Caenorhabditis elegans: one gene and its partners. The protein of the gene in region 1 interacts with the protein of each later gene in a biochemical or structural test. Each region holds a gene or a part of one and is shown on either strand. Other genes may lie near its edges.

Region 1 (3,754 bases):
TTGAGTACGCTTTTCCTTGCACAAGATAACTTTTCCGAATGTTCCTTTACCGAGCACTTTGAGAAAATCGAAATCTTCCATTGTCTGTAATTTTTTTTGCAAAGGTTTTTATCAGATAGGTTTTCTTACGATTTTGTCTCTTTTAGCAGCTTCGCTGGTGTCAGCAATACTAATCATAGACGCTCTGAAGTCAATTGAACAATTATCACCGTGTCCCGAAGATGGTTGACCCATAATTGCATGCGCTGCACCAGCAAATTCACTGTCTTCATCAATTTTTGGCTGCTGATTCTAAAAGAATTTTTCAAAAAAGCTGGATCAAGGTGTAATTTTTACGGTTTCCATTAATTCCTCTTGTGGATTTGCATTTGTGCCTTTGTATTTTTTTGAAATGCTCTCAATAGCATGAATCCAACGCTGACGAACTTCTGCCGACTCCGCATAGAATGTTCGCTCAATGACAGTTGTCCACTGAAGGCATCTTACCATGAACATGTTAGGTCGTGGTTTTTCGAATAACATTGTCTGAAAATAAAATATTGCAAAAGTAGATGATTTTGCAGAATGATGTTTAGAAAAATAAGCTCATCTCTACTTACCGCTGCATCCTTGATCATAAAATCATTCAATGGCTCAGGAAACGGTTGTCCTTCCTTAGGCTTTGCTCGAAATCCAAGTAAGGCTCCATCATTGAATATCATGAAGTATCTGAAATTATTCTACGTCATTAACTTTCAATCTTTTATCATCTTTGTTTTTTTTGTTATGTCACTCTGACGAGTTTCTTTTTAAAATGTTTTCAGTCACTCTCAACTTCCGCACTCACTCATTCTCTCTTTTTTCAATTTGATTATTTTTCGCATCGCTCACTCGCCGTTCACATGTGTTTATTATTTTGGAACATTAAATGAGAAGGGTGACATACTTATGGATAGAAGACATGCACACTCAAAAACAAAAAAACCATCCAAAAATACTGCACAAAATCGTGTTTTTCATTTTTTGAGTTTTCTGTAATCACAACAGTTTCACTTCCGTGTTGCTATTATTCAATTTTTCAATGTACTGTCTGTTAGGAAAATGATATACGTTTTTAGCAATCGTGAATATTTCATAGATATCTTTAATTTTCGGTTAATTTCAGTCGTTTGAAAATAATTATATTCTGAAGCGAATAGTTGTACTATGTAGCGTAGCAAACATAGAATCATCTGCTCTACCAGGAAGTCACATCATTCCCCCTTCATAAAAACGTTTATGAAGATTTTTCAGCCGGAAAAGCATGATAAGAGCGAGTGCGCGGCAAAAACAAATCAGTTGACGTATATGATGAAGCGGATATATGAATTTATGTAGAAAACAAAAATAAAAAGATTAACGAGAACAAGACTCATCGGAGTTTTCAAGATAAATTTTGATGTGAAATCATTAACTAACTTTTTCGAGCATAAAAATTATCGAATCAGTGGTAATATATGATCAGTACCGATAGAAAAATCAAACCTTGGTCTCCAGTTTCGAATGTGCTCTCCTTTCTTGTGAAGCCATCCCTCAATGACAACATCTTCTTGTCTTCGAGACTTCGTTGACAAGCTTGTCATCGACATTCTTTCACCGGCGCCGTCGTAAACCTTTCGGGAGAAGTAACGTCTTCGACTGAAAATTAGAATATTTTTTGATCGAGATTCATTATGTTTTTAAGAAAATCAGTTTTAACACTTTTAATTCGAAAATGAAGGAAAACATAAAAAAAAAGAAAAGCGAAAAAACACACGAGAGAGTTTTGTGACAAACAAAGCAGAGGGACGGAAATTGACAGAATTTGAAGAGAGAGACATAGGAGTTTAGAGAAAAAAGAGGTGGTGACCCTATTTCAGCGGAAACAAGAACACGAAAACATTTTCAGACACTGCCCAGCAACAACATCATGAGTAACGCTGCTGCTTCAGAATATCGTTTTCTGAGTGTTCGTCTGTGGTTTTTTGTTTTCCAACAAGGAAGAGATAGGAGAAGCAGAAATAACGGGAACGGACAACCAGTGGAAAATAAGAAAGAAAATATCGGTTTTCTGGAATTGCCCGCTTGGAAAACAAGATTATTTCTACGATAACACCATGCCACTGATCATAAATTTCAAGTTTTTGATCTCTGGCATTTTATACACATCGATACTGTATAACATGCAAACAGAAAGTTTACCTGTGATGTACGAGCACTTTTGTTATCGAAAAATCAACAAAACAACGTGAAATAGAATAACAAATTAACGGCAAACAATTTTTGAATAGGGATACTATGAGAGCCGAAGTATACAAGCGAAAAAAGACCATATTGGTTGAAGTTGATAAATTTTCAATAGTCTGAGAACCATTTTACGGCTGTATAAATATACAAAAACGACTTATTTTTAATTATTGGTTTTTAACTCAACCTTATTAGGCATTCAATTTACGGAAATCATGTTAATTATTATTTCTCTAGAATTTCTCTTGAATTATAAGCCACTTTAGAAACCCTATAAACGAAAAAAAATTAATCGTGAGAAAACATTAAGAGACGGAGAATGAGAAAGGAAGAGATGAACCACGCGGATTATCATCACGTAAAAACAAGAGGAGAGGTTTTGATACACTTTTCGCAGTTAGTGATTAGGCCACTGCCTCTTGTCTGAGCTTTCGAAGAGAAACAGATTATTATGCACCACGACTGGCATACGAACATACAAAAAAGCGGGGTGATTACGCCATGGGAGAAGGAGCGGAACTGGAGCACATACGTGGAAAGACGCAGACGGAACGTGCCTAAATTTAATCGATCGGAACGATATATTAGAGACATAATAATAACGAATTAACTGTTAAATTGGGAATATATTTGAAAAATAGACACTTTTTCAGATTTTTTTTCAGTAACAAAATTAGAAAATCTTCGAATGTGGTTTCAATGCCATGATTTTTTGATTAAGTGAACGCGAGAAAAACCGGAAAATAAGAAGGAAAAGCAACAAACAGAGGCGCCGATAGGGTTAGACCGGGTCTTGAACTGACGGTCTTGAGACGAATACAAACAACTTGATGAAGGAAAAAGAGAAAGTATGTGGGTTGTTGATGAAATCTCCAAAAAAAAAAAAAAATAGAAAACAAAGTTTTTCTATCTAATTAATTTTTGAAAGCATTGAAAAGCTTTTTTAAACGTTTTTTTTTAAACAGGAACGTTCGAAAACGAAAAAAAAAACGGTTGTGTTGCCAGACTCCGGTTGAGTTAGATATCGGGCACGAATATCGGTGTTGCCAGTAGTATACAGCAGTACGGAAAAGTGCACGTTTCGATCAAAGGCCGCGCGTGCTTTGCTTCGCGGAATGGATGATCGGTGACGCCGGACGGAGAGAGGGAACAGGCGCGGCGTCGAGCCGCAGACAGAGCGAGATAGTACATGCTAGAGTTGTTTACATCCCAAAACGAAAACGAAGAGGCTTCGCGACAATTGCAAAAAATGAATTGTCCCTGCTTTTTATGAGGTGAATATTATTGGAAAAAATTTAAGGGGAGAACACTAATTTACATCTGAATGAAACAACAAAGAAATATGAATTTTAAGAGTATTTTAGGAGTGGGAGTGATGAAAGCTTATTATATTCTGAAAATAAAAATAAACTCCCACGCGCGCGAGTTCCAAAATCGAAAAATACAACAAAAAAACAACAAAAATGTTGCAAAAAACTGTTTTCTCTCTAGCAGTTGCTTTTGTCCACGA
Region 2 (3,754 bases), on another chromosome or scaffold:
GGAGTACATGGACTAAAGTTTTATACGTGATGCATTTTAATTAAAAGTTTAACTTACGCTACTATAGTTAATAACACACATGTGGAGAATAGTATTTCCAAAAGAGTCCTGGAGATTCGGGTTGGCACCGAATTGAATCAACAAATCGTAGATATCCTTGTTTCCAAAACAAGCGGCAAATGCTAGGGGGTACTCCCCGTAATAGGCATAACCTTGATAGTCAGTAATCTTATTAGTAAGCTTAAAGTCTTCGGGTAGGAAGAAGTTTCCACAGGCGCGGGCATTCACGTCGGCCTTGCTATTCAGAAGCAGGCTTACGGTCTCGTAGTCATCGTGTACAATGGCTAGGTGGAGGGCTGATTGGCCTAAAGATAACACAATGTTTCAGGCCGCTTCAAAACAAGCCGCTTACCAAATTGCTCATCCCCCAAATAAATGTCATTAGCCATCCCAGGGAACCGCTTGAGCAAAATCCTGGCAATTTCGTAGCAAACTTGCTGTTCTCTAGAAGTACACATATTAAAATTTTCTATTTTCTATTGAATTTTTACCTGTTCAACAAAAGATGGATCAAATTTTCGCCTTCCACACCTCTCTTGTTCAGTTTCCAAAGTGCGTAATGCTCCTTGAACCGGCTCTGCTGCATGTCCACGGACTCTTCGCTGAGCCCGAGTTGCACGTTCTGGAAGATTTAGAAGTTTGAGAGTTTCTGTGGAAGTTAATAGGGGGAACATACCACTCCCTTCTTCCATTTGATATAATCACTGTAGGTGACAAGTTTTGGATTCTGGCCCTCATCATAGAGAATTGTGAGGAGTTTCTCTTCTGCAAATTTTAGGACGCCTTCCTCACCATCTCGCTCGTAAATGTTGATCAATTCTCCGCCTGAAATGAATGTTTAAAAAACTATACGTAGATCTTCAGATTTTTGCATTTCGTTAGATAAAAATTATGTTTTTCGTTTGTAGAGTTACGCCTCACCACAGGATCCTGGGTCATGGTTAAAGATCTGGGTAAAGGTGCAAAGCTCAGCACTGAGTAAAGTTAAAAACTTGAAATTTATTAATTAGTAAAATGTTCAGGGTGTTAAAACTTATAATGTGTTAGTTGATCACGTCTTAATACCACCTACTACAACGGAACTATGCGCCTTTAAAGTATGGGCCACATTGTGAACCTTCAGCATTGTTCCCATAAGCCAATTCTCAAACGCTCATAACTCCGCGGTGAGTTGAGTTATCAAAAAATTGGCAGATACCAAAATATTTGAAATTTCAAGATAAATAATTTGTTAGCGCACATTTTTTTTTGATAAAATCTAACACAACGGAGTTATGCGCCTTTAAAGTATGGTACACAAAGTGTTGGCAGTACTCCCTCCATTACCAACATTTTAAAACCGCATAACTCCGTGGTGAGTTGAGTTATCAAAAAATTGGCGACTATCAAAATTTTTTAAATTTTAAAATAAATAACTTGTTAGTTGATTATTTTTTAAAACACCACCCGCTGAAAAGTTATTGGCAACCCCAGGCTTCTTTATCGTCGAACGCTATAAGAGAACTAACAAAATGCTCAAACTTTCAGTTTCTATTAAGAAGACTTGCCTTTCCTGACAGCGACCCACTTGTACAAGTGATTCTTTTCCCTTTCTCTATACAAGTTCGACCATTTCTCATCGGGGTCAAACGCGAGCTTGACTCCCTCGCCACGTGGTTCGGTTTTGTTTCGCGAACTTCCACCGCCCATGTTTGGTTTCTGAAAAAATTGGAAAATTAAAGAGTTGGTGAAAAATTGATAATATAGACAGCGAGAGCCAACTCCGCCTTCTTAGTAATACAAAAGTTATATGAAATTTGGAGGTGAAGAACAAATTTTATACTTTCGAATAATACTATAAATGAGTATGAATATGAAGATAAGAAAATTATATTTTGATCAGAACAAAATCAGAGAGAGAGAAAGAAATTCTGAGAACACGGGAATAATTTCCACCTGCTTTAAAGGATCATGTCATACTTTTTGGGTCCCACAATTTGGCTAGCGGAAGTGTGTGTGTGTAGTAATGGAAGTGAAAAAGCGTATATTTTCGCAATTGACGACGTGGATTAGTCACACCCCATGAGACACACCTTCAGGCGGCGCCGAGCAAGATGGAAGGAAACGGGTTGAGTTAAGACAATAAATTGAACTTTTTGCTTCAACTCTAAAGCACAGTCCGGATGAACATAAAAGGTAAACAACTAGTTTTTAGTACATGAAATAATTTTACGATATTCAAAATTTTGAAAATTTCGTTAATTTTCTCAAAGCATTCTTGCAGCGGTAAGTGTGATCAAGCAGTTGTGTGCTTACACATTATTTATCTCAAAATTTTAAACATTTTGTTAGTTGCCAACTTTTTGACAACTCAACTCACAGAATATTGGGTGAAGAAGGAAGCGCTGCTCACTCACTTTGTGTCCCATACTTTAAAGGCGCATAACTCCTTTGCGGTAGGTGTTATCAAAAAATTGTCAACTAACAAAAAGCTAACCTTCACGTTTAAAACGTGCAATTTTTTTGATAAATTTACTCACAATCAGTGCAGAGTTATAGGTGCTTATGAAGTTAAGGGTAAGGAACGAGTGTCGTCTCTTATAATGTGTCCCAAACTTTAAAAGTGCATAATATTTGGCATTTGGCATTTGGGTCTATACACCAAATGTGCTAAAGTTTTCAAAAAAAATTGTGACTGAACTAATAAACACGTCAATTAATTCTAGAATGTCCATTAATCAATATTATGTATACAAAAATTTGCAAAAAAAACTATTAAAGTCTATAAGACTACAACTCAAAGCAATACTATATTTCATAAGAGCAACCCCACTTAAATCAATAATCTTAGTGACCTGACAAGACCTGCTCTGAAAATTGATTGAAAGCAAGTGCAGTGAGAGTGCTAGAGCATGTTCTAGTTCTGAGAATTTTGAAAAAGAAAAAAACGTGAGTGGAGAATTTTATTGATTAGTTGGATACATTTCGAGATACAAGTCCAATTTGAAACTTATCTAAAGAATAAAAATGTTGAAATATTTTGTAGCCGGATTTATTCCAATAGTTTCCTACTGATATCTCAAATTTTCAGGTAGGCTAATGGAATAATATCTACATTAGTTTTTTGACATGCTGAATCCGTTACCTATATTAATTTTTCACAGGAAAGTTCGGAAATTTTCGAAATCCCACATATGAAATGGGCTCCATTGCTATATTCTAGGTATTGCTTTTTTTGGGTAAAGAAGTGAGAAAATACGATCTCGATAAAAGTTGAATTGCCAGAGTACTGATTCTCAAAAACCTTTTTAAAAAAGGGGCGCTCACTGTTTTTTAGGCTAACTAGCAAGTTTCAAAATATACCTAGTTACCCGTAAAGTACTCCCGCGAGGAATTCAGGTTGCGCAACGTCCTTCTAGTGACTGGGGGCCGTGCGCAACAGATAATCGTACGTTAAATACGATTTCCTCACTTTGTTTGAGTTTTACGAAAAACATCGCGCGGTTTTTGCAGAGTTTCGGTAAGTTTTCAGGGTGACCCATAATAGAGGCTCGGCATTTAAGAAGGCCGCCAGTGGCGTCCACAGTGCCTATCCTTCCTTAAAAAAAACTGCATTTTTGTCAAGAAATCGGGTTCGCGGACGCCTGGGAGCAAGCCTCGACTTTCCTAACAGGCCTAGAGTTAAAATGCCTTAAAATGTGCCTCTAAGGCTGAC
Region 3 (3,754 bases), on another chromosome or scaffold:
GGCACAAGATCGCCAAAAAAAATATTTTCGATATGATATTCCCATATTTAGAATCAACACTTAATTTTAAGATGTAGAGTTAGTTAAAAATTCCAAATATAAAAAAAGCGACTTTCAGGCGTTGCCTGAAACTTTTCAAGCTTTTTTAATAAAGGTATATGATTTTCCTACATTTCTGTTTTAATTTTTGATTCAAAAAATTTGAAATCATACAGGAATTACCAGTTCTGCCAAAAACCTCCTTATTTCGAAAATTTGAATTTTCTAAAATGGAACCATAATAGGTACTTCGTTTCTGTTCTCTGATTTTCGACCTATCGTCTGTTCTAATCAAAAACCCCGCTACAACAGTGTGCAAAAAGTGCACTTTTCCGTTCTCAAATACCACTTGCTCTCTCCCTTTCTTTCAAATGTTTGCCATTTTGTGCTTCCTTCCCGTAGAGAGAAGAACAGCTGATGTGACAGAACAGAGAGAGAGAGACAGAGAGACTCTGTCTGGCAATACAGTGAGGGAGCAAACGCGTGACAGTTTTCGACCTCTGAACGTCACACCGTATACAATGTTGCACACAATGGTGAGTAATTGTTGAGACGGGCGACGACGGTTTTTAAAAGAAATGGGGTTACTGTAGAGAGAAATTATTTTTAGAACGAAAATACGATTTCTGTCTTTAAAAAAGTTGAATCAGAAACTCATGATATTAAAGTTTGCATCAAATCTAATTTCCAAGCAATCAAAAGAGAAAAGAGAAAATAGAAAACCTAATCACCAGTTGTTTGCAAACTGCAACTCCGCGAGAAAAAAAAAGAGAGAAAAGAGTCAAAAGATCGGGGAAACCCCTTTAAATTCTATTTGCCTCTCCTCCTCACATGCACGTGAATTTCCCGTGTGCTTAGTGGACCAACAGCTGACAATAGGCTTGTTGGCCTATAAAAGACGAAAAAGTGTTAAATGATTAGAAACAAAAAACAACTAAAACAGTGATGACATCAAAGGGTTTTCCCTTAAACAAATCTCGAGGTCAGCAACAATGAGAGAAATCACTTTTGATTGTGCCAACCGATCGGAAATAAAATGGAGAAATTGGAAGAGTAACGAAAAAAAGAAATTTCGATGATCAAAAATCAGAGCGAATGTGACAGATAAAAGATGACGCGACACGACCACAAGAATTGAAAAATCAGAAACAGTAAAAGGTCAGCTGAGACCTAAAATTGAGAAAAATTCAAGGCCATTCGGCATATATATATATATTTCTATATATTTTTTTGTTCTTTTTTAATTTAAACATTTAAAATTTTGAAATTTTGAAATTTTAAAACCGAGGCTTGTTCACAAGCCAAAACTCTTTCAAAAATTGATAAAAAGGGCAAAAATCATCAACTTTTATAGCGTTTGTCCTTTTTCCACGAAACAATGCTTTTAGTGCAATTCGACTTTTATGAACCTTCACAAACCACCTAAAAATCTTAAATTTGGCGTACCTAGTTCTTCCGCTGTCAACAGTCTCTAAAGATGTGTGGAAATACGGAGAGAACGAGCATTTTTCGCGAAGAAATTGTTGAGAATACTGGGTTACTCCGCCAAAAGAAGCCGAACGCTCTTGTTGATGGAGGTCGAGATTGAAGAAATCATCTGAAAAAAAAACAAATAAAATTGGAATTTACAACTTTAAATCACGAATTTACCGTCAAAATCAGTGGAAAAACTCATTCCGGAATCAGGCCTTGCCGGTTCGAGATTGTGCAGTGTGATGTCAGATGGTAGCGGCGAATCGAGCTGAAAACTGGGCAAATTAGACGAAAAAAGCGCGCTTTTTTGATTTTCAACTGTAAAAGCTGTGTAAACTTCCACGATTTCGCACAAAATCGGGTTCAAAACAACTATTTTTAGCAGCGAAATGAAGAAAAATAGGGAAAAATGATTGGAAAAAAATTTCGAAAATTTGAAATTTAAACTGCGAGTATACGGTAGTTCTCGATGTGTGTGCAAGGTGTTTGCGTATGCGGCGCCATACCTCACGACAGTTCCACGCTTGCATGTCCTGTGAGAATTTTTGCAGAAAATTTCGGCACTTCGAGCAATGTAATGAAGACTTTTGCTGCAAATTTTAGTTTGATTTTCAATTTAGAATCATAATTATAAGCAAAAAATGTTAAAAACCTCGAGTTGCATCATTAAAATACAGATAGAAATTGAATAGAAGTTACAATGAGGAAATTAATTTCAAATGAAACGTTTTTATTTTGGATAATTTTGAAATCTTAACTAAAAATGAACATTTCCGACGTCTCGAACTGATAAAAAGAGAGAGAGAAGAAGCTTATTTTGACATAAAATGTGTATAGAGGAAGATTTTTTTGCAAAAAAAAAGTTTCTTATCACAATCCATTTTTGCCCACTTTTCCACCATTTTTTCCATCACATGTTCTCGTCAAATGATGGAAAAGTAAACCGATATGTCTTTCCTTGAGAAATAATATGAAGAAAAAAAAAATAGAAAAGAGGACATTGGGAATGCTTTTTTTTCTCGTTGGTTGGCGGCCGGCGACAGAGGTTTCAGAGATCAACTTCTGAGCGACCCCATGCGAGAGTTGTTTACGAGAAAGTGCAAAACTGTTTTATGAACTTTGAGACGGAAAAGAAAAAGGGGAAACGAAAAAAAGAAGATATAAAGCGAAAAAGCAGCAAGCTCGCCCCAAACGAACTCACTATTAGGAATAAAACATGAGTTTTTTAAAGAGAGGAAATCGTGAGAGAAGATTTTGGTAAAAAAATGATTTCAAGAAAAAAAAATCAGAGTTCGTAAATCTACACTGTGCAAACACCGGAGTTTACGAAAAAGTACAGAAAATATGAAGGTTTCAAATTCAAATTTTTTAATTAAAGAAAGGCGAAAATTTCTTTGAGCTGGAAAAACTTTGGAGAATATATTATATTTTTTCGAAAAAAAAAATATTTTTCTAAAAGTATATAATATTAATTTTGGTTTTTTTTTTCTTTTTTTTTGAGGAAAAATAACAGTTTCTTACGAATTTTTTTCATAAATATAGCAGAAATGTAATTAAAATTCGATTTTTTTTTGTAAATTTCCTTGAAATTCTGTCAATTTTCCTTCTTTTTTTTTGAAGAAACACCTTTTTCTAAACATGTCGTTAACAATAGTTCCAAAAAATTGGATTTTTCTCGTAAAACTTCGAAGCACTTTGGTTATTACGGGAACACAAAGTTTTTAGAATGCGTATTGCAAAACATATTTTACGCGCAAAATATCTCGTAGCGAAAACATGACTACTGTAGCGCTTGTGTCGATTTACGGGCTCGATCTTCGAGATGAATTTTATTAAATCAAAGGATTTCGAACATCGAGCACGTAAATCGACATAAGCGTTAGAGTAGTCAAGTTTTCGCTACGAGACATTCTGCGCGTCAAATATGTTGTGAAATACGCATTCTCACAAGTTTGTGTTCCCGTAATAGAGTTGCCGATTTTTTTTAAAAGTTTTCTAATCTCCAATTTTTGGCAATTTTTTTGCTTTTCAAAGAAATTTTTTTTTCTTTTTTTTCTTTTTTTTTTTTTTTCATAATAAAATTGCGCGTAAAATTAGATGCACTGACTCCACCCCCACCAATAGATCAAACTATACGCGCTAAGTCTTTTCAATCTTTCTAAACAATCTTTTGCTGCATTTTGTAAATAACTGAAAAAGAGCAGAAAACATGCAAAACATAGAAAACACTCATGTTTTTCAC

Evidence for each region.
Region 2: of the proteins of akt-1 (region 1) and osm-9, one has a biochemical effect on the other in vitro, tested with the Caenorhabditis elegans proteins (one study listed by BioGRID).
Region 3: of the proteins of akt-1 (region 1) and daf-16, one has a biochemical effect on the other in vitro, tested with the Caenorhabditis elegans proteins (2 studies listed by BioGRID).

What each region holds. Positions count from the first base shown.
Region 1 is NC_003283.11:10,246,809-10,250,562, reverse strand, and holds the start of akt-1 (Serine/threonine-protein kinase akt-1), read right to left. Parts: upstream 1,659-3,754; 5' UTR 1,608-1,658; coding exon 1,504-1,607; intron 709-1,503; coding exon 600-708; intron 526-599; coding exon 337-525; intron 292-336; coding exon 130-291; intron 85-129; coding exon 1-84. UniProt on the Caenorhabditis elegans protein: Acts downstream of PI3 kinase age-1 and kinase pdk-1 in the daf-2/insulin receptor-like transduction pathway.
Region 2 is NC_003282.8:3,555,683-3,559,436, forward strand, and holds the start of osm-9 (Ion transport domain-containing protein), read right to left. Parts: upstream 1,750-3,754; coding exon 1,608-1,749; intron 886-1,607; coding exon 737-885; intron 683-736; coding exon 552-682; intron 505-551; coding exon 413-504; intron 366-412; coding exon 58-365; intron 13-57; coding exon 1-12.
Region 3 is NC_003279.8:10,748,920-10,752,673, reverse strand, and holds the start of daf-16 (Forkhead box protein O), read right to left. Parts: upstream 2,177-3,754; coding exon 2,165-2,176; intron 2,112-2,164; exon of another isoform or gene 2,103-2,111; coding exon 2,019-2,102; exon of another isoform or gene 1,969-2,018; intron 1,781-1,968; coding exon 1,690-1,780; intron 1,637-1,689; coding exon 1,486-1,636; intron 256-1,485; exon of another isoform or gene 117-255; intron 1-116. UniProt on the Caenorhabditis elegans protein: Forkhead-type transcription factor. Binds to the promoters of genes that contain the daf-16/FOXO binding element (DBE), TTGTTTAC, in their regulatory region.